Cricetulus griseus: one gene and its partners. The protein of the gene in region 1 interacts with the protein of each later gene in a pairwise test. Links are inferred from orthologs where the notes say so. Each region holds a gene or a part of one and is shown in the gene's direction. Other genes may lie near its edges.

Region 1 (6,887 bases):
AGAGTGTTATTAATTCCTTGTACCCATTTCTACCCTCAGCTTCCGGATATTTAAAAAAAAAAAAAAAAACTGTTAATGAGTGGGTATGCACCTCGAGGACTTCAAGTAGAACTGACTGTGTTTCATATATTAAAGTTTAGATTTGTGATTCTTTTAAGATTTCTTATAAGATTACCTTTTGAAATAAATAATAAAATGATTGATCCTTTCTTTGTAACTGCAAAATGCAGTCTGCCAGTAAAAGAACTGGCTGAGAAACTTGTTTTTCATCTCTAATACATGAAATGTTTAATTACATAAGGGATATGGAAAACGTGCTGTTCTTTACTTGTATTTATTGTAATCATTCACTTGAAAATAGGATGTAATGGGGCTGGAGAGATGGCTCAGAGGCTAAGAGCACCGACTGCTCTTCCAAAGGTCCTGAGTTCAATTCTCAGCAACCACATGGTGGCTCACAACCATCTGTAATGAGATCTGGTGCCCTCTTCTGGTGTGCAGATATATATGGGAGCAGAATGTTGTATACATAATAAATAAAATCTTTAAAAAAGAAAATAGAATGTAATGACATTGTAATTTTTACATTGCTTGAAAGATTTTGCTGGGGTATATAAGATGTAAGGGAAATAAAGTTAGCTAGAAGGAAGAAATCAAGAGAGACAGAAGGGATACATCAGTGTAGAAGAACAAAACAGAAAAAGAGTAGTAGAACAAGCAACAAAAAAAAAATAATAAGAACTAAGCCTTGGCCTGCAGAAAAGTCCTCATGTGTCTGTCTGTCCAGTAGTTCACCTGCTTTGCATTTCCTCTTTAGTTTCTCTGACCTGCTGAAGGCTTGCCATTCATCAGCACACTAGGTGAAGTCCTGACATGCTTGTTGTATGTGTGTGCTTGTGCTTGCGTGCGTGTGTGCATGTTTCCCATTTGAGCCTGCCCCAGAGAACTGTTTTACTCCCTCAGATAGAAAAGTCAAGTTGAGTGATTAGTTCACCAGCTCAGTGGATCTCTCTCAATCCCTGAGCTGCTGAAAGCTGGTCCGCATGGCAGCAATATGTAACAATTTGGGTACTCTGCAGAACTTAACTGTTTCAGATAGATTTAATTTTTTAAATACTTACTTGTCTGAAATTATGTTTTGTTTACTTAAATTTTGTGTTTTAAACATTTTGTGTGTTTGTGGTATATGTATTTCTGTTGCGTGCATGTGTGCACACACACATGGGCCCCAGAGATCACCTTCTGTTATCTTGTTTTTACTCTCCATCTTATTTTTAGGACAGTGAGAGCCAAGAGTTTTCTGTTTAGGCTAGACTAGCTTGCCAGTTAGTCAGTCCCCAGTATCTACTTGTCTAGCTGTCTTCTAGCACTGGGCTATAGACATGAGCCATTTACCCAGCTTTTGCATATGTGCTGGAGATCTGAACTTGGGTCCTTGTGCTTGCTTAGCAAGCTCTTTCTTCACGCAACCATCTCACTCGCCCCAGTTTTTCTCATTATTGTTCTGTCTTTATAGGCTTTATTAAGATTAATAAACTAATTAGAACTATCTTTTGTTTCTTATTTTCCCTTAATTTATAAATTCTTTAGGTAATTTTTACTTTCTCTTTTTCTTTCATCTTATTTAAATATTAAGACATACTAACTTGTACATAAAAACAAATTATATATAAATGGAAAATCATGTATTTCAGGGTTTTTTAAAATTTATTTTTATTGTGTGCATTGGTGTTTTCCGCTGGGTCCCAGAATTATAGACAGTTCCATGTGGGTGCAGGGAGTTGAACCTTGGTCCTCTGGAATAGCAGTCAGTGCTCTTAACCACTGAGCCATCTCTCCAGCCTCTCATATAGTATTTCAATGCATGTATAAGTTGTATATATATTTTTTTACATGTATGGGTGTTAAGCCTGCATGTATATATGTGTATCATATGCCTGCCTGGTGTCCTTAGAGGCCAGATGAGGGTGCCAGATTCTCTGGAACAGGAGTTACAGATGGTTATGAGTGGGTATTGGAAATCAAACACCCATGTCCACTGGAAGAGCATCAGTGTTCTTAACTGCTAAGCCATCTCTTTAGTCCTTAAAAAAAAAAAAAGGATTTTGTGGCATAAACAAGGTTGGCCTGGAACTTGGTCATCTTCCTGAGATAGTCTCCCAGTACTGGGATGACAGGCATGTGCCACCAAGCCTAGCTTGTTTACTTTTTATAAATCACCAGTAAGCCAAGTGGGTGGTGGTGGCACACACCTTTGATCCCAGCACTCAGGAGGCAGAGACATGGGGGGATCTCTGTGAGTTCAAAGCCAGCCCGGTCTACAAAGTGAGTTTCAGCACAGTCAGAGCTACACAGGAAACACTGTCTTGAAAAACCAAAATAAAATAAAATATAAAAATAAAAATTGTATTTAATCCAGTGGTTTTTAATTTCACAGTTGTTTGCGCAGCTTTACTGTTAATTTCAGGACATTTTTATCCTGCATAGGTTTTTGTTTTGATGTATCTGTTCATTCCTAGGGCTAGCTGAACTTTGGGTCTCTGTAATGAACTTAAGATTTTTTGTTTGTTTTTTTACTCTTATCACAGCACCTCTGGAAGCTAATGGTAGAGGAATCAGACTTACTGGGTCAGCTGAAGGTAATAAGTGATATTCTTTTAAATCTTGGGATAACTGTGGAAAACACTCTTGCCTAGACTCATTGTTCTTACTCGGGCAAGGAAATTATATTTGATGCTACAAATCTTCTGAATCCTGAAGATTCAAGTTTACTTTCTTCTGTTGTGATCTAAATGCCATCAAATACATAGAGTCCTCCTGTTTTGAATGGCTGCTCTGTAATCATCTTTAAAATACTAAGCCTGTGTCTTTCAGACTGATAGCATCAGCCCCTATGTATCTAATTCTCTCGGGTAGTAAAGGCCTCAAGGCTCTGATTTACTGAACTGTACATTGAAATTCTGTTCTGATTTACTGAACTGTACATTGAAATTCTTTCCTCAGATCATTAAAGACTTTTACCTTCTGGGACGAGGAGAACTGTTCCAGGCCTTCATTGACACAGCTCAACACATGTTAAAAACACCACCCACTGCAGTAACAGAGCATGGTAATTGTCCTATGGCCCTGAGAATAAACAGCTTGCTCAAGTTGCTGGGTGTTTCTTGGCTGATGTGTTGTACATTGTATGTTTGCCTGCACAGGCCAGAAGAATGAGAACTTGAGTCACAAGTTTATGAGCTGCCATGTGGGTGTGTGGAAGGGAACCTCGGTCCTCTGAAAAAGCAGCCAGTGCTCTTAACTATCAGTGCTCTAGCCATCACACCCTATTTTTATCTTATAAATAATAATGGAAGCCGGGTGGTGGTGGTGCTTGCCTTTAATCCCAGCCTTTGGGAGTTGGAAGCCAGCATGGACTACAGAGCAAGTTCCAGGACAGGCTTCAAAGCTACAGAGAAACCCTGTCTCAAAAAACAAAAAACAAACAAAAATGGAAACCCAGCCTGGGAAAGCCTAGTTATAGCTATAACTCTCTTGTGCTTGGGGTATTACTGGCTGTCAGGACAAGTAAAGCAAAGGTCTTCAGTACTGTTAAGACTTTTTTCCTTACCTTTGATGCCCCCCCCCAACACACACATACACAAAACAGCCTAGCCTGGTTTCTAGCAGCAAATTAAAGAAGTCTAGTGAAGTGCTTAGTTTTATTTGGCCCTCCCCATGTCACATGGCTATCACTGTAACAGTGAAGTGAGGTGTTAGGATATGTCTCGTTCAGCAAAGTGTCTTCCCCTTGGCCAGTTAATGGCTGCCTCCACCCAGACACAAGAAGAGAATGTAGTAAGGATCCAAGCCAAGAAAAAGAAAATGGGAGGGAAATGGAGAGGTTTGTTTTTATAGTTTAATGAGACAATAGATAACTACTGTGCTTTTTTGTTACAGATACCAGAAAAGCCAGTTCAGACTCACTTAAGCAAATAAATAAAAAGGATAGATTTTATTCTCATAATCTCATATGTGATGGTTTTGGGTAAAACCTAATTATCTTTGTCTTCTTAGCAGGCAGGGTAGGCTCTATCCAGTGGTTTTCAACATTCCTAATGATGTGACGCCCAATCATAAAATTATTTTTGTTGCTACTTCATTACTAATTTTGCTACTGTTATGAGTCATGATGTCCATATCTGATATACAGGATATCTTATTTGCAACCTCTGTGAAAGGGTTGTTCAATCCCCAACCACTGCTCTTGCCAGATTTATGTTTCTAAAACTGAAGAACTACATTTTTTCAAAGTCTGAAGAGAGCCTCTGGGTTGGCCTGAATTAGAGCAAGTCTATAAATAAAACAACCAAAAGGTCAGCTGTCATGACCCATTGATCATGCTGCCTTCCCAAGAATTGGGTATTGCCAACCCCGCTGACACTACAGGAATTGTACTGATCAGGGGTGATTCTCTTATTATTGTTAATAAGGACAAGGAGAAATTAATGCTGGACAGACAGAAGTCACATATGTCCTGGCCCTAGCTGAGCCCTACTGTTGCTTTCCTGTGCTCTTTCTGGCAGATGTGAATGTGGCCTTTCAACAGTCCGCACACAAGGTGCTGCTAGATGATGACAACCTTCTCCCTCTGTTGCACTTGACAATTGAGTATCATGGAAAGGACCACAAAGGTTTGTTAGTCTCCTATTGCCTCCTCGCTGCATCTTCTTGTTTTCATAATTTCCCTTCACAGAAACTGTAGTTTGGACCTTAGGGATCACCTAATCTAGTTCTCTAATTTTTTTTTAAGATTTATTAATTTATTATGTATACAGTGTTCTGCCTATATGTAGGTCGGTAGGTCAGAGAGGGCACAGATCTCATTACAGATGGTTGTGAGCCACCATGTGGTTGCTGGGAATTGAACTCAGGACCTCTGGAAGAGCAGCCAGTGCTCTTATCCTCTGAGCCATCTCTCCAGCCCCTAGTTCTCTAATTTTGTACAAGAACACAATTCCAGAAAGGTTCAGGTGCTCTGTCCACAGGTTTTTGAAATCACATCTGTATTTTTGTTTAAGATTCCTCTCAGCAAAGCCCTCACAGGAGGTTCCTCCCCTTTACTTCTGTTGCCTCTCAATGCTGCTGTTTAGCACCACTGGTGTCTCATTTGATGTGTGCAGTTCATCTTGCTCTCTCTGGTTCTAATTAACCAAGTTATTTTTCATTATCTTCTTATCCATAGCAGATGCCACCCAGCCAAGAGAAGGGCCTTCTCGGGAAACGTCCCCCCGGGAAGCCCCTGCTTCCGGGTGGGCTGCTCTAGGTCTCTCCTACAAAGTACAGTGGCCACTGCATATTCTCTTCACCCCAGCTGTCTTGGAAAAGTGAGTAGTTGTGAGTTTCTCCCAGTAAGTATTACCCACCTTACATCCAAAGGAAGCAGTAAGTGAACAGATACGATTGGCGGAAGCAACCTGTCATCCAGCTGGTTTCTATACTGGTTAAGCTAGAGGTTGCAGACTCACCCGTCTGCAGGAGCCTACACAGGGGTTCTAGTTTGTTTTCTGTTGCTATGAAAAAGATTATGATGAAAAGCTATGTGGGAAGAAAGGACTTATTTGGTGTATATATCTAGATAACAGTTCTTCATTGAGGGAAGTCAGTGTAGAAATCCATGCAGGAACAGAGGCAGAAACCACAGAGGAATGCTTCTTACTGGCTTACTCCTGTTTGCTCAGTTTTCTTTCTTACACATCCCAGACCCACCTGTCCAGGTGTGGTGTCACCCACATCAATCATCAGTCAAGAAGAAAATACTCCACAGGTTTGCCCAGGGAAATCCAATGAAGGCAGTTCCTTAACTAAAGCTCCTTCTTCCTAGGTAACTCCAGCTTGTGTCAAGTTGACCAAAAAACAAAAACAAACAAGCAGCTCACATTAATAAGTGAAGTGACAGCCATGAAACAATAGGGAATGGTAAGGACTTGAATGAATGGGAAGGCATATAGCCACTTAGAATCATCAGACTAGGCTGGAGAAAAGACTATGAATAAAGGTGAAGACCAAAGTTCAGATCCCCAATGAAGCGTGTGTCCATGCCTGTAGTCCCAGAATTTCTGCTATGAGATAGGAGGAAGAGACAGGGGAGTATCAGTAAGTACACAAGCAAGCCAGTTTAACATAAACAGAGGCAAGCAGCAAAAATACCCTGTCTCAAACCAAGGTGTAGGGGGATGTCTAATTTGGCATTCACATGATTGCCAGGGCATATGCCCACCTGCATTCACTCACACAAAATGACACCTTTAAGATTTTTTTTTTTTTTGTAATGTGTCTTTGTTTGTGCATATGCATGCTGGTTCCCATGGAGGCCAGAACTGGAGATGGTACAATTGTGAGGCACTCAGTATCAGTGCTAGCAACTAAATCCGGTCTCTAAAAGAGCCACAAGTGCTCTTAACCACTGAGCCATCTCTCGCCCCCAGACTTTGAGACAGGGTTTCTATATGTAACCCTGGCTGTCCTGGAACTCACTTTGTAGACCAGGCTGGCCTCAAATTCAGAGGTCTGCTTGTCTGTTCCCCAAGCACTGAGATTAAAGGTATACACTACCATGACTGGCCCAGATTTCTCTTTTTAACTGACAAGTAATAAGCAATTGTAGGCTTATTATTTGTAGATTAGTTTGTAGTCTCAAATATGAAGTCTCAGGTAACACACTGAGTTCTAGCACTTGCCTATTCCATCAGTCCTTAGAAGTTACCCCTGATTTTTATGATTTGTTGTTGATGATGTTAATTTACTTGGGACCCTTATGTTAGTTAGATTTCTGTTGCTGTGATAAAGACTATGACCAAAGGGATAGGGTTTTATTTCAGGTTGTAGCATATAACATCAGGAAGGAA
Region 2 (7,518 bases), on another chromosome or scaffold:
AGGAGGTGGTGTTGCTACTATGCGCAGCAGAGCCCTGCTCCATGATCTGTGTTCTAGATACTGATTGCACGACCTCCTCCATAGGAGCCCTGTGCCTATTCTGCTTTCTTTCATTCTCTGTTTTCATTAAAAAATTTAAAATTAGCCGGGTGTTGGTGGCGCATACCTTTAGTCCCAGCACTCAGGAAGCAGAGGCAGGTGGATCTCTGTGAGTTCGAGGCCAGCCTGGTCTACAGAACGAGTGCCAGGATAGGCTCCAAAGCTACACAGAGAAATCCTGTCTTGAAAAACAAACAAAAAATTAAAATTACATTTATTTATTCTGTGTGTGTGTGTGTTTGTACACATGCATGCCACAGCATATATGTGGAGGTCAGAATTCAATTTTTTTGGTATCAGTTCTCTCCTTCCACTATGTTGGTCCTGGGAACTGAACTCAGGCCGTCAGTTTGGTGACAAGTGTTCTTACCTGGCAAACCATCTCAACAGCCCTATTTTTCTTTTTGTTTGTTTGCTTTGTTTTGAGACAGTCTTGAATTCATGGCAATCCTCCTGCCTCAGTCCCTGGAGTGCTGAAATTACAGGCATGCCAGCATTTGGCTTGTACTATTACTTAATATTTTTCTTTTAAAAAAGATTTAGAAAATAAAATCTGTGAGTTTGAGACCAGCTTGATCTACAAGAGCTAGTTCCAGGACAGCCTCCAAAGCCACAGAGAAACCCTGTCTCGAAAAACCAAAAAAAAAAAAAAAAAAAAAAAAGATTTAGTTCAGCACAGTAGTACACACCTTGAAATCCAGCACTCAGAGGCAGAGGCAGGAGGATCTCTGTGAGTTCAAGGCCAGCTTGGTCTACATAGTGAGTTCCAAGCCATGCAGGGCTACATAGTGAGACCCTGTCTCAAAAAACAAAACAAGCAAAAAAAAAAAAAAAGAGGAATTATTATTATTTTGGATTTTTGAAATGGTTTCGCTATGTAGCTCTGGCTGTAGACCAGGCTGGCCTCAAACTCACAGAGACCTGCCTTCCTCTGCCTCCTGAGGATTAAAGGTGTGAGCCACCACTGCCTGGCTATGACTTATTATTTTTAATTGTGTGCATGGTGTGTGGGGTTATGTGAAAGTGAATGCAGACACCCATGGAGGCGTCAGACATGCTGGAGTTACAGGCTGTTGTGAGCCGCCTGATGTATGTGTTGGGAACTGAACTTGAGTCTTCAGGGTATCAAGTGCTCTTAACAACTTAGCCAGAGTGGCCCCCCTCCCCCCTCCCGTGTGTGTGTGTGTGTGTGTGTGTGTGTGTGTGTGTGTGTGTGTGTGTGTGTGTGTGTGTGTGTGTGTGTGTGTGTACATTCCCATGCATGGGTGTGCAGCTATAATCCTAGCACTTGGATGGTGGAGGCCAGAAGATAAGATGTCCAGTGTCATCTTCGTTTACATAGCAAGTTTAAGGCTAGCCTGGACTACCCAAGATCCCATTGCAAGAAAAACTAAAGAGACTCCATTCTTAGGGGCTTGTGGTAGAGAGCTTAGCTGACATGTGCAAAGTCCTAGGCTCGATCTCCAGTGCTGGCCATGAGAGCCTTGAGAATATGTTATTGGTATACCACAGGCATGTAATAAGTGCAGATTCTTGTCTACAACTGAGGTATTCCTCTCACCAGGAAGCCTTCTCCATATCTGACACTATAGCCATTGCAAGAGCTTCTACTCTCTGTCCTTTTTGGGTCCTTAGTGCCTTCTGCAAGAATGGGTACTTGATAGTGATGGGGGAGGGGTTAATGTGAGGGCAGAGTTGAGTTGGGCAGGGTCCTAGCTGCAGATCATGGCTAAGCAGCTCCATTTGACCCCAGGTAGCCTGGGGTTAATCATCAATCATGAGAGGGCAAGAGGTCACACTTCCCCAAGGGACACCTATGTTGCCTGGTCCTTCCTGAATCTTGCCTCTCATTTTGTATTTAGGGAAACTGATGCTCAAGATGGATGAGGCCCTGGGTCTCAACGTTGTTCAGTGAGATGGGGACAGAGGGAACACAAGAGTCTGACTCTTCTTCGTGGGTGCTGGAGAGCCCACCTTGGGTCTTCATACTTGCATGGGGGAGCATTTACCCAGAGTCGTCTCTTCAGAGCCTTCACTCTGGACTCTTCTAAGTTCTTCTGTGACCCTAGAACTCAGCGTGGTTTTCAACCCCCACCCCCACTCCACACCTGCCTGGGCTCCCAACATCCCACAGCACCGGCTTCCTGAGCATTGGGACAGAGCAGGGGACATGCTATCTTGTTTGAGGTTAAAGGTCTCAGGTCTTGGCAGGTGGTAGGTGTCTGGTAAATATTTATTTATTGAATGCATGAAGGAATGAACAGCCATTGCTGTGAACAGCAAATAACAGCCAGGCTTCTTCTGCTGGCTGTGAAACAGCAGAGATGGGAATGTGACTGACGTGAGAGTCACCCTTCCAGTCTAGACAGGATGTCAGGATGGCTGCCAGCTCCCCTTGTCTTCTTTCTGTCTTCCTTTTATTTTATTATTTTTTATTTTTAAGACAAAGTCTCTCTGTGTAGCCCCGAGTGTCCTGGAACTTGGTCTATAGACCAGGCTGACCTTGAACTTACAGAGATCCTCCTGCCTCTGCCTCCTGGCATTAAAGGCATGCACCCAATATGCCTGCCCTGCATCTTTGTTTTCTTGTCTCAAACCTAAGCTGACCCCAAGTGTGGTCCTGGGAAAGTGGCCTGACCTAAAGACAGCTCTGCATATGTCAGATCTAGGGTGGCTGTGTTATGAAAGTAGTCCAAGGTGAGAGGTTCCTTCTACGTCTTGCTGGCCAGCCCCTGTGGATGGATGCTTCCCTTTCTGAGCCTCCATTTCCTCATCTGTGAGATGAGCCCAGGTCATTCATGAGCCGTGAGCTGCATGAAGAAGGAGGGGAGGATTGAATAGCCCCATTAGTCATTTTTGTTGTGAGTCTTCACCAGGACCCCAGAATCAGTAACTGTCCCTTTAACAGGGAGGAGGGGCCAGGCCCTGGTGGCGGAAGTTGATCTAGTGGCCTGTGAGTCCAGGTTGGTCCTGGCTGGGCTGTAGGCTGTGCTGGTCTGGGGAACTGTCCTTTGGGAAGGTAAGGGTGGCATTGTGGGAGTGGCTGCGGGCTGTGGGAGTGAGGGTGGCTATTACCCCAGTAGCATCTGTCCTGTCATGTCCAGGAGGCGGGCCCTGGGGACCCTGAGGATGGAAATCAGGTTGTGCAGGCAGAAGGGGCAGTCAGCCTGGCTTTCTAGCCTTTCTCCTAACTCAGCTGCTGTATGCTACCCAAATGGCCCCTGGGGATAGCACCCCAGAACTGTAGGGCTGGAATGAGGGCTAGAGAAAGTGAACAGCGCTTATAAGTGAGTTCCAGTAAGGAAGTCACAGGGCTCTCTCTCCACTGCCTCACCCAGGCCGCCCAGCAGCTGCCACAGTGAGGAGTGGACCAAGGGGTCCCTAGACCTTGGCTCAGATGGGTCCCCACCCTGATGGCAATGAGGCTGCCGTCACCAAAAGGGACATAGAGGCCTTCGGACAGAGTTTCAGCTCTCTTTTGTGCTTGTGTTTGATTTTTTCAAGTCAGGTCTCTCTATGTAACCTTGACTGTTCTGGAACTTATTCTATAGACCAGGCTGGCCTCAAACTCACAGACATCCACTTGCCTCTGCCTCCCAAGTTCTGGGATTAAAGGTGTGTGCCACTGTTACTTGTCGAGGTTCAGCTCTTAAGGATAATTATCAATGAAGTAACAAAGGGTCTCATTTTTAATAAATGATGATGATGGTGGTGAGAAGGAGGATACCAAAAGCCCAGTAGTTAAGATGCCACACAGTGTGGAAGCACACACCTGGGTTTGTACTCCGAGCCACATTTCCTGACCTGTGGCCTTGTGTACCAACCACTCTGGGTCCCTAGTTATGAAATGGGGTTAAATACAGGACTCTGTCAGGGTTTCTCAGTGCATTCTGAGATAATAAGGAAGGTGCTGGGCATGGTGCCCAGTTCCCAGCAAGCCTCACACAACAAGTTAGCTCTTATCAAACCACACTGGGTACAGCTGGCACCTTCACTTCACAGTTGAACTTAATCCTTACAAGGACCCCATGGTGTACAGCACTGCATCCAGTGTGCAACATGGTTCATGCTTAGCTCACTTGCATCTTTCTAGTCCAAGGTTCCATGCCCAGAGGAGACCATTTTGCTCATCTTTAATATTCAGTTTCCTATTATTTTGTTGGTTTATAGTAGATCTCCTCATCAAACTACAAGCTGGCTCTGAAGTAGGCATCTCTCTTCCCCACTGTATCATCCTCGTGTCCCAAGCCCCAGCCTGGACCTTGACAGTACTTTCTAGACATGCAAGATAGGGTGTACATGGCAGCATTGGTAGAAGGTCCCATTGAAGGGATCTGCCTAGAGTATTCAGCCTGGAGCATGGCAGTGTGTCCCAGAGGCTCATCCACACCACAGCCTGGGAGTTGGAGTGTGTGTTTGTTCCCATTTTACAGAAAAAGAAATAGACCCAGGCTGGTTGAGACACTTACTTGAGTCACACAGCTGTTTTTTGACTTTGATCTCTGGTTAGCCCCCAAACCTGTGATCTGGGGTTGCAAGACTGAGTGTGTGGGTCAAGCCAGGCTATGAGGGATGTCTTAGGATTACTATTGCTGTGAGACCAACGGTTCTAAGGAGAAGAAAGGGTTTAATAGGCTTACACTTATATTGTTATTTGTCATCAAAGGAAGTCAGGACAGGAACTCAATCAGGGCAGGAACCTGGAGGCAGGAGCTGAAGCAGAGACCAGGGAAGGGTGCTGCTCACTGGCTCACTCACCATGGCTTGCTCAGCCTGCTTTCTTATAGAACCCAGGACCACCTTCCTAGGGATGGCCCCACCCACTGTGGCCCCACCCTCCCCCCATCAATCATCAATCAAGAAAATTCATGAACAGCTTTCCCACAGGCCGGTCTGATAGGGTCATTTTATCAGTTGAGGTTCCCTCTTCCAAAATGACTCCAGCTTGTGTCAAGTTGACCTAAAAACTAGCCAGCACAGGGAGTCTGGGGACCAGGTACAGCTCATAGGCCCCCCTTCCCTGTGAGAAGTGCCGAAAGAGATGAAGGGGTCTGCTCTGTCTTTGCCTTGTCTGGGGAGGTCCAGGGCCATCCTGATAAAGGGTCAGATTCATGGGCCAGTTCCCTATTTGAGTCCCTTGAGTAAGAGAGGGTAAGAGGTTCAGGCTTGGGGCGTGGGGGGACTGGAAGGGGCTGGAGGGGCCTCCTGGTGGCCGACCTTGGGACTGCAAAGGGCCTCACCAAAATGAGGATAGTTTTTATTTCTGTTTTTGTCCCTTTTCTTTGGTGGTTTGAAACAAGGCCTTCTCAATACATAGCTGATAATATGTCCTTGAACTCACTTTGTAGCCCAGACTGGCCTTGAACTCATGTTGTAGCCCAGGCTGGCCCTGAACTCTCAATCCTCCTGCCTCGGTTTCCTGAGTTTGAGTGCAGGGATTACAGGTGTGAGCAACCCAGCTTATTCCTTTCTCCAACATTCCTTCCCTCATTTCTTATTTTTTTAAATTTATTTATAGACAAGGTCTCTTTTTGTATTCCTGTCTGGCCTATAACTCCCTTTGTAGACCAGGCTGGCCTGGAATTCATAGCTCTTCCTGCCTCTGCCTCCCGAGTGATGGGATCAAAGGCTTGTGCTACCACATCTGTCATCCTCCCCCCCCCTTTAAAAATTGTATTTATTATCAGTGTGAGTGCATGAGTGTGGATGTGTGTATAAGGGTGAGTGTATGAGTGTGTGAGAGTGTGTATGTGTGAGTGTGAGTGTGTGAGTGTGTGTGTGTGTGTGTGTGACGACGACACTGTGAACTAGATTCTCTCTTTCCACCCTAAGTGGTTCCGGGGTATCAAACCCAGGCCATCAGACTTATGAGACAAGTAGCATTTGCTGAGCCATCTTGCCAGACACCTTTGAAATCTTTTAAAATTTATTTTTAGGTGTACATGTGTTTGTCTGCAAATATGCCTGCACACTGTGTGCAAGCTGTGCCCAAGATGGCCACAAGAGGGCATCAGACTCCCTAGATTGGGAGATACATCCGGTTTGTGAGCCACCATATGGGTCCTGGGAACTGAACCTGGGTCCTTTGCAAGAGCATCATGTGCTCTTAACTGCTGAGCCATCTCTCCAGCCCGTCCCCCTCTTTTTTTTTTTTTATTTTTTGTTTGTTTGTTTGTTTTGAGACAGATCTTGTGTGGCCCTGACTGGCTTCAAATTTGTTATGTAGTGACATAAAATCATCACCAAATGTAGATCATTGTAAAGCTACATATGTACATCAAAAACAAAAGCTTTCTGGCCAGTGTGACATCATAATTATAATCCCAACACTAAGGAGGTGGAGGCAGGAGGATGGTGGGTTCCAGGCCAGCCTGGGTCACACATGGAGATCCCATCTCTCAACAGCAACTACAACAAAAGCATCTTTGCTTTTAGAGATACAGGCCATGGCTGTATAACTAGGAACGGATGACAGGGAAGAGGGCATAAAACTGCCAACGGCAAAGGTAAGTGACTAGGGAAGTGCCCTGCCTCCCTCGCACGTGCTTAACCAGCATTTTTTTTATGGAAAAATGATGAATGAATGACTGAATGATTTTTTTATTACTTTTCGGTCACATTCTGTGTCTCCAGCACTATGGACAGCCACAGACACTAAGTGAAGGGTACCCAGGACAATCTGCCTTGTTCAGATGGGAAACCAAGGTCCAGAGAGGGGCAGACACTTGCCTGAAACTTGAAGCTTGGAAGCTGGATTGGATTTGGGGTGGCCAGGCTCAGAGGCCTTGATCTCCCTTCCCCTGTCATAGTTAAGGAATCTGAACCATGCATGTCCCCTTGCAGGTCATCTGTGCCACAGGAATGGAGGGAGCCTTGGTGGAGCGTGTCAGGGCAGAGCCTTTCCACAGGGTCACGCCCTTATTGGAGAGCTGGGCACTGTCTCGGGTGGCAGGCATGCCCGTCTTCCTCAAATATGAGAATGTACAGCCGGCTGGATCCTTTAAGATCCGGGGCATCGGACATTTCTGTCAGCAGGTAAAGGAGGGTGAGCACAGCGCTGGGGAGGGGAGTGAGGACACACAGGGCCGTGGAGGAAGTGTGGGCAGGACAGAGGGAGAGGAGTGTTGGGTGTGGATGGAGCACCCAGCCACATCCTGAAAAGGCCTCCATGACTGGAGTGACCCCCGACTCCATCCTTTCTCTCTCCAGATGGCCATGAGGGGATGCAGGCATCTGGTGTGCTCCTCAGGTGACCCCGCCCCTCTCGGTTTTACTAGGAGTCCTCGGGACTGGGGTGGGGGCAGGGGAGCCATCCATCAATGTCCAGGGCCTCTCTCCCTCCCTCCCTCCCTCCTCCTCTCCCTGCATTTGTTCTTTCCTTTGTAAAGGCTGTGGGACTCCTGTCTCTACCTCCTGATT
Region 3 (7,415 bases), on another chromosome or scaffold:
ACTGTGTCTTCTGATTTGAGGTAAGTGTTGAAACCAAGGTAGGTGTCTACAACTAGGAAAGGCATGCTAGTAGAGAAAAGGCGATGCTGAGGCCGGGACCATCCCTTCGCCGTGCCAAGGGCTGGAGCTTCCTAGGCCAACTGACAGTTCTGGGACCATTAGAGGGCTGGGTGCTCAGGACATCCTGTTTTCCTGGACAACAGCTTCCCAGCACCTCAGGTGGACAGAAGGGTGTTGGGATCTCCAAGAAGGACCATTTCTAGTGGTCCTCAGGTTCAGGCTCCTTCTCTCTATAGAGGTGATGAAGTGATTGCTGTGGCCAGCATGAACTACGATCCCATCGTATCCAAGGTGGCTGAAGTGCTGGCCTCAGGTCGAACCATCCGGAAGCGGGAGGTTGAGTGAGTGCCCGTGTGGGAGGTTTGGGGGTGTGTGTGTGTGGGTGTCCTGGGTAGGATTTACTCAAGCTTCCATGGCAGCCTGTTGCACCCACAGTCCTGTAGAGCTTTTCCCCTCACTTTTAGTTCCCATGGCTCCTGGGTAGGATGGGGGGTGAATTAGCGATTTAGAAGCTGACAAATTGTGATTACAGGAGCAGAAGGAAACAGGTGTGTGCCCCCAGAGAGAAGCCAGTGCTGTGGGATGGAGGCAAAGTCCACTACTTGAGTGAACCCAGCCTGGGACTCCTGACCAATGTGATTTGTGCTAGGCCTAGGAGGGGGAAAACAGTGGTGCTCCCAGATATGCCATACACAGGGATGTGGGAGATAGGACATCTGGGAGGCACTGGACACTAGCCATTCTGTATCCCAGCACAGTGCCAATAAGAGTCCCCTGTGTATAGAGAACTTCCAGGAGCTAGGGACAGGGTAGAGGTGCCTGAGGGGCTGAAGGCTATCTGACAGGGGTAACTCCTAGAGTGGAAACAGGCAAGACCCAGAGTAGACCTCATAAATGACATGCTTTCTTTGGCCTTCTGTTTTTCCCTCTTGCCTTCGCAAAGGCTGTTTATGCTACACAGCAAGTACGTGTGTTCTGTTGACTGTTCTAAGCCTTTTCTTCCCCCAGCCCAATTATCAAATCCTCCTACCCTGCCCAAGTCCACTCCCCTGCTGAGCACCAGGCTTTGACACATAGCAGTCCCCGCTACTGTTTTCATGTTTGTTCATGGCCTGGAGTCGAGAACCTACCCTCTTCTGCCCTGACCCATCACTATTTCGTCCCTGCAGAACCGGTGACATGTCTTGGCTCACAGGGAGAGGATCCTGAGCTCTCATGTGGTGGATTTGGGCAGGCCTCTGGGCACCAAGGTCAGAGACCAAGTCCTGGGGGCCAGTGCCAATCTCCTATTTCCCAGGATACCCCAGGGTGGAATCTGAGTCCTCTCAAGGCTTGCCTTCAACTGTCTGCCTCCCCTCCAAAGAGGCTCCTGCTGTCTCCAGAAGATGGTCCCTCCCAAGGCTCAGCTGTTGTTGACAGCTGGTTTTAGAGGCAGGACAGGCTCTGCCTGTTTCCTCTCTTAGGACTGTCTTCCCAGCAAGAGCCTGTAACATTACCTTAAAATTAAAACACATGTATCTACAGATGTGTGTCCCATTGTAATTGGGCCAGCACTCGAGGGAGAGCCAGGTATGGTGTGACACACCTGCAATAGCAGAGTTTGAGTCCATCCTGAGCTACATGAGATCTTGTTTTTAAAAAGCTTCAGAAGCCAGAGGCAGCTTTTGTATTTGCCCACTTAAGAAAGATAGGAACTGGGTCCTGAGCCAGTTTCCATGCTTCTCACAGCCATCTGAGCTGCTTTGTTACTGTCATTAAATCACCTCATCGTTATATACTCAGAAATAAAAATACTCAGCTGGATTACAGTAGCCACTCAAAAACTTAGCCAGTCCAATTCTATATATCTCGATGATCTTTTGTACAGCTAGGATAGCCATTATGAAGCCACTAGTGACTTCACTTTTACTATTTTATGTTTACAAGCACTTACCACAAAAAAATACAACAAAGTTGAAACTAGAAAACCAATTAGCTTTACGATTTCATTTTCATGACTTCATGTGTCCCTTTTGCCTGAACTTTGTGAATCCTTATTTCACAGGCGAAGAACTAATTCAACTGGCCTCAAACTACAATGTAAAAAATACGGTTTGTGGTGTAGCCTAAGCGCAATGCTTGCCCATCATGTCTAGGGTTCAAAGCACACTGCAGAAACAAATGAAGATCCTGCTCATGAACAGGAACGGAGAACCCAGAGGTTCTCCGCTATCAAAAGTTCCAGACAATAAGCGCCAAAGGGAGAGGGGAGCACTGAAGACCAGGTTTAGGGGTACAAACAGAAGGTGGACGGTTGAGCCGCCTACAAGCCGGAAACCTCACTCTGGAGTTCCGGGGGTGGTGGCTTCCGGGCGATGACAAAGACCGACTATAAGGCTTGGTCTGATCAGACGGCGTTCCCCGAAAGTGGAAACCTGAGCCGATTCTCGGCCAGAAAAGCTTTCAGAATGGGAAGCACTGCGTGATAATGTGAGGAATCCCGCTGACAGACCCTTGACAGCCCGCCGTGTGGCGGAGAACGCAAGGCTTGTTGGGAAGGCGGACCTAGCGTGCAAGCTGGCCGGACGTGCTACGCCGTAGGCGCAGGGCTCTTCGGGAAATGTGGTCCCTTGGCTCGGCCCGGGCGGTGGCCGTGAGCCCTGCAACCCGGGCGGCCCATCCAGCCTGAACCAAGGATGGCTGGGCCTGGAGGCTCGGGGGCCCAGATCGGGCCCGGGGCCCTGGCAGGAGGTTTGCGCTCCAAGGTGGCTCCGAGTGTGGACTTTGACCACAGCTGCTCAGACAGTGTCGAGTACCTGACGCTCAACTTTGGACCCTTCGAAACAGTGCATCGCTGGCGGCGCCTCCCGCCCTGCGACGAATTTGTAGGAGCCCGGTACGACAGTGTACAAGAGATCCTGAAGGCAATGGGAGTGGCGACGAGAGCCGAGGAGGTCCCAGGATGGGTTCTAAGGGGCAACACCCCGTGTGATGTCCTGGAGGTAGTCGATTTCCAGGGAGTCGCACAGTAGTGACCCTAAGCAGGGTACCAGACGGTCCAGTTTGGGTAGGGAGTCTGAAGAGTCCTCGGTGTGTCAGGCGTCCTTCCTATCTAATGGAATTGAAGATCTCTGTAGATCTTGGCAGTGGAGAGGCTTTACCCAAACTTATGTGGCAGCCACCATGGTGGCAGCCTGGAGAGTCCCAGTCTCACTGCCCCTTCACCTCTTCTTTCTTTCTAGGCGCAGCAAGCACACAGTCGTGGCATATAAAGATGCCATCTATGTGTTTGGCGGAGACAACGGGTGAGTTTACCTGTTAATGGGAGTGGTGGCAGTGGACGATGACAGTGAGACAGACTATTGCCTAAGAAGGGAGTCATGAGCTATGCCCTGTGAACCTCTGTTTCCCTGTCTATAAGGTGCCTTGTACCTGGTTCCCAGGTTATGGTGAGAAGATCCTGCCTGGAAAGCCTTCTCACCCCAGCATTCAAATGGCAGTACATGGAAATATACTGTTTTGAATGAGTAGACACAGCCCTGTGTGGCACTTTTCTTCTTTCTCAACACTTCCCTCTAGGCTTTGCCCACTTGCTTGCTTTGTAACCAAAAGTATGGAGAACATGTTTTGTTGTTGTTTTTACATCTGTTTATGTGTGTGTTGGGGGTGCATGCAGGAGTCATCTTTCTCCTACCATTCGGGTACCAGGGATTGAACCCAGGTTGCAAGACTTGGTGGCAAGTGTCTTCACTTGCTGAGCCATCTCACTGCCTCCAAAATAAATTTTATTGATTCTGTGTATATCTTGCTTCTGGTGGAGATTTCCCTGTGTTGCTTTAACCTCCTGGAAAATACTCTTCCTGGAAATGACTTGCAGTTCTGGTGAGCACTTTTCTCCACACACAGACTTGTTAAGTTAAGCTAAGGTTATGTTTGCAAATGACTCCCTCTTCTCGGACCCAGAACCAAGGGGACTACAGCCTTGGTCCTGTAGTCTACCTGTGGTAGCTGATCTAGAGCAGGTGAGGTTTTCAGGATTCTATTAGAACATGCAAACTTGGCCATGGTCTTCTGGCATCATCTCATCTCCATAGTTCTTTCTCAAGAGCAGCTGGGGATCCATTTACAACTGCAAGTCAAGAGTATGTTCCTCCTCAGCCCATAGCCCCGTAACATCCTGGCACCTCTTTGTGTAGAGCTCAGTCCTTACAGGAGTGTATGAGGTCTACTGTACAATGGTGTTTTCCTGATTCTCAGCCAGCCCTTTGCATTTGTTGTTTCTTCCCTGACACACTCTTGTGGCTTCCTTTCTAATGTTCCTTATGGATGAGGCCTTTGTGCCCTCTCTTACCAGCTCCATTTGCTCTACCCCCCAATTAGGCAAGTGTTGACACTGATTCACTTACCCAAGGCATTTTTCTTCTCACTTCTCTGTACCAGTGCCCAGATGTCATAGTCCGTGTTTAGTGAGTTAGAGGATGAGCCTTAGTAAGAATTCCCCACACTACAAAAGACCACTGTCCAGCATAGGGTGGTGGGTGGGAACTTAGGATCCCTGTCCTTAGCATTTTCTGGAGCAGGTAGACAACTGTGTGGTGAAAAGCAGAAGTGTTTTTGGTATGCAGTTTCAAAAGAAAGTTTAATTATGCATCTGCTTGCCTGTGACTTAAGATAAACCAGGGAAGCCTCCATTCAACAGAGTGGGAAGAAGGGTTCTTGCTAGGCAGTAGCAACTTTGCATATTGGAAAGCAGGAGGAGCAAGGAAACCCGGGGTTGAGGTGGGGCCAGGTCAGTTCGGGTAGAGTTCTTCAGGGCCGCCACAGGGATTTCCTCATGAAGATCCAGGTAGACTGCACTCTCTGGTTTTGGGGAAAAATTTTTAGGTTTTGGGGCCATCTGATCCTTGATGCTTGAGTTGATGAGGCGTTTGTCTTTGGGGGCCTAGTATAGGTACTTAGTTCAAAACAGTAGCCTCCCATTATTTTAACAAATGCCCCTACATTTAAGTAGGGGATTAAATGAGGGAAAGCATGATCCCAGCCTCTAAGCTTTGCCTTCCTGGCTGTTTGGCTATGCTTCCTCTCCCATAAAATGAAGTCAGGGAGGGTATCCACCGTCACAGACTGAGCAAGGCAGAGATGCCCTGCGAAGGCCTGGCCTGAAGGGGGTGCTTGAGGTCTTGTTGGTTCACTGCTCTTTTTCCACATTAACAAGAGTTGATAACATGCCAGTAATGTAAGCAGGACAGTGGAAATCCAGTGGACAATGGATTTCTCTTTAATGCAGTTGTTATGTCAGGTGACAGGGAGATGGGAAAGCATGCAGGTCTCCACTGATGTTTGAGCCAGCATTTCATTGTAGTGCAGCCTTGGGAGGGTTAAATGTAGGAGTAGGAATTCTGGAGACTGGGGTGAGGTGTGAGTGATGACTCCAGCCTCTGGGCTGGTTCATGCTCTCATATCAGCCTTGAGTGGGCTGCTGGTGGTGGGGATCAGGCTGGCTCTGTCAGTGTGGGAGCCCTAGTTGACCATATCACTAGTCACTAGTTCTGTCCTTTGGACATTGATGGGTTGTCTGACTCTGGACAAGTCCAGAGACCTGTGAGCCAAGCCCTTCCTGCTGTCTCCTACCCTTAGGTACATGCCCTTGCCCATCTCTACGATCCTGGTGAGGTAACACCTCCACAAAGTAGCCTGGCTACTGTCACCCTCTCTCTTTCTGCTTTTCAGAAAGACGATGCTCAACGACCTCCTGCGATTTGATGTGAAGGACTGCTCCTGGTGCAGGTGGGTGGCCCCTGGGCTCCAGGATCCTGCCCGTCCTGGAAAGCAGCAGCACAGTGCTGGGTCCACTGGTTGTTAGGGTCAGCTCATCGTGGAGGGCCAGAGAGAAATGTAACAGAGGACAGCCTTTGATGGCTTCCCTCCTTCTCGCAGTTTTCTGTGAGAATCATCCTAAATCCTGTGAACAAAGGGGTCTGCCTGATCTACTTGGTGGTATTTAGACTCTGACCTGGGAGGGACCTTCAATCATCAGAATTTCTCCTAGGCCAGCAGTTGCTGTCTGATCTCAGACAGGGCATGGGCAGGTCTCAGCTAGTTTTCCCAGAGTGCCACCTCCAGGCTGGCAGCAGGGCCTCCTGTCCCACCATTGTCTCATAGGACTAGTTGCCTGCCAGTAGACCCCACATAGGCATTAAGCAGCATGCAAACCCTGCGAACCATTCTCAGCTGTGTGGCCTTGTACAAGGGCTACCTGCTCTCTGGGTGCCACATATTGTGTTTCCTGCAGCAGTCCCTGTCTGGGAGCAGCTTAGAGTGGAGGGTGGGGGTTGACTGGACTTGCTAGCTCCATCATCTGCTCACACAGGAGCACAGTGCTACACAGCACCTCGTGGTGGTCTGGAGGACATCCCCTTGGTCCCCAGCGGCCTTCTGGGTTGGGGTCTGTTTTGAAAGAGGAGGATGCAGGGCTCTGGAGATTTTTGTGACTGCCCTGGACACTCAGCCAGGCAGGGCAGCTTCATTTGGCATCATGCACTGCCTTGGGGTTTCTATTGCTGTGCTGGAACACCGTGGCCAAAAGCAACTCCAGGAGGAAAGAGTTTATCTCAGCTTACATGGCCATGTCACAGTCCACACTCAAAGAAGTCAGGGCAGGAACTCAAGGCAGATAACTGGAGGCAGCAGCTGAAGCAGAGGCCATGGAGGGTGCTGCTTACTGGCTTGCTTCTCATGGCTTACTCAGCCTGCCTTCTTATACCACCCAGGACCACCAGCCCAGGCGTGGGACCACCTACAATGAGCTGGGGCCTTCCACATCAATCACTAATTAAGAAAATGCCACATCGGCTTGCCTACTGCCTGATATTATGGAGACATCTTCTCAGTTGTGTTTCCCTATTTTTCCCAAGTTGTAGATAATCTACAACTTGACACAAGTTGACAAAAACAAACAAGCAAAAACAACAAAACCTCACAATCAACTAGGACCCCACCCACTGCCTGGTAACACTGACATAGCAACAGAAATTGTTTTTCTCACACTTGATCTTTTGTTTGTTTGTTTTATTTTTTGAGACAGGGTTTCTCTGTGTAGGTTGTAGACCAGGCTTGCCTTCATCTTAATGCAGTTGCTACCAATTCTTTCCTTTTTCCTGTGCTGGATATAAAATCTAGGGACTGGTGCATGCCAGGCAAGCACTCTACCTCTGAACTGTATCCCTAGCCTTTTTTTTTTTTTTTTTTTTTGAGACAGGGTCTCAAACTTGCTATGCAGGTAAGGACGACCTGACCTCTTACCCACTTATATCTACACCTGAGTACAGGGGTTACAGACATTCACTCCCATGTCTGGTTTATGCAATATTAGGCAT

Evidence for each region.
Region 2: the proteins of Tubgcp4 (region 1) and Sdsl interact in a two-hybrid assay, tested with the Homo sapiens proteins (2 studies listed by BioGRID and IntAct). The two-hybrid records come from large-scale screens. The link is inferred for Cricetulus griseus from reciprocal best matches to the Homo sapiens genes TUBGCP4 and SDSL.
Region 3: the proteins of Tubgcp4 (region 1) and Lztr1 interact in binary tests that used the Homo sapiens proteins (3 or more experiments, as listed by UniProt). The link is inferred for Cricetulus griseus from reciprocal best matches to the Homo sapiens genes TUBGCP4 and LZTR1.

Annotation. Positions count from the first base shown.
Region 1 is NC_048599.1:57,232,659-57,239,545, reverse strand, and holds part of Tubgcp4 (gamma-tubulin complex component 4), read left to right. Parts: intron 1-2,588; coding exon 2,589-2,639; intron 2,640-3,003; coding exon 3,004-3,109; intron 3,110-4,565; coding exon 4,566-4,673; intron 4,674-5,224; coding exon 5,225-5,366; intron 5,367-6,887. UniProt on the Homo sapiens protein: Component of the gamma-tubulin ring complex (gTuRC) which mediates microtubule nucleation.
Region 2 is NC_048597.1:100,276,429-100,283,946, reverse strand, and holds the start of Sdsl (serine dehydratase-like), read left to right. Parts: upstream 1-2,998; 5' UTR 2,999-3,118; intron 3,119-6,504; exon of another isoform or gene 6,505-6,605; intron 6,606-6,732; exon of another isoform or gene 6,733-6,804; intron 6,805-6,942; 5' UTR 6,943-6,960; coding exon 6,961-7,134; intron 7,135-7,308; coding exon 7,309-7,348; intron 7,349-7,518. UniProt on the Homo sapiens protein: Catalyzes the pyridoxal-phosphate-dependent dehydrative deamination of L-threonine and L-serine to ammonia and alpha-ketobutyrate and pyruvate, respectively. Also exhibits racemase activity towards L-glutamate and D-glutamate.
Region 3 is NC_048597.1:71,803,316-71,810,730, reverse strand, and holds the start of Lztr1 (leucine-zipper-like transcriptional regulator 1), read left to right. Parts: upstream 1-2,404; 5' UTR 2,405-2,735; coding exon 2,736-2,935; intron 2,936-3,281; coding exon 3,282-3,344; intron 3,345-5,769; coding exon 5,770-5,826; intron 5,827-7,415. Other genes in the region: Aifm3 (apoptosis-inducing factor 3), read left to right, coding at 297-401, 1,230-1,269. UniProt on the Homo sapiens protein: Substrate-specific adapter of a BCR (BTB-CUL3-RBX1) E3 ubiquitin-protein ligase complex that mediates ubiquitination of Ras (K-Ras/KRAS, N-Ras/NRAS and H-Ras/HRAS).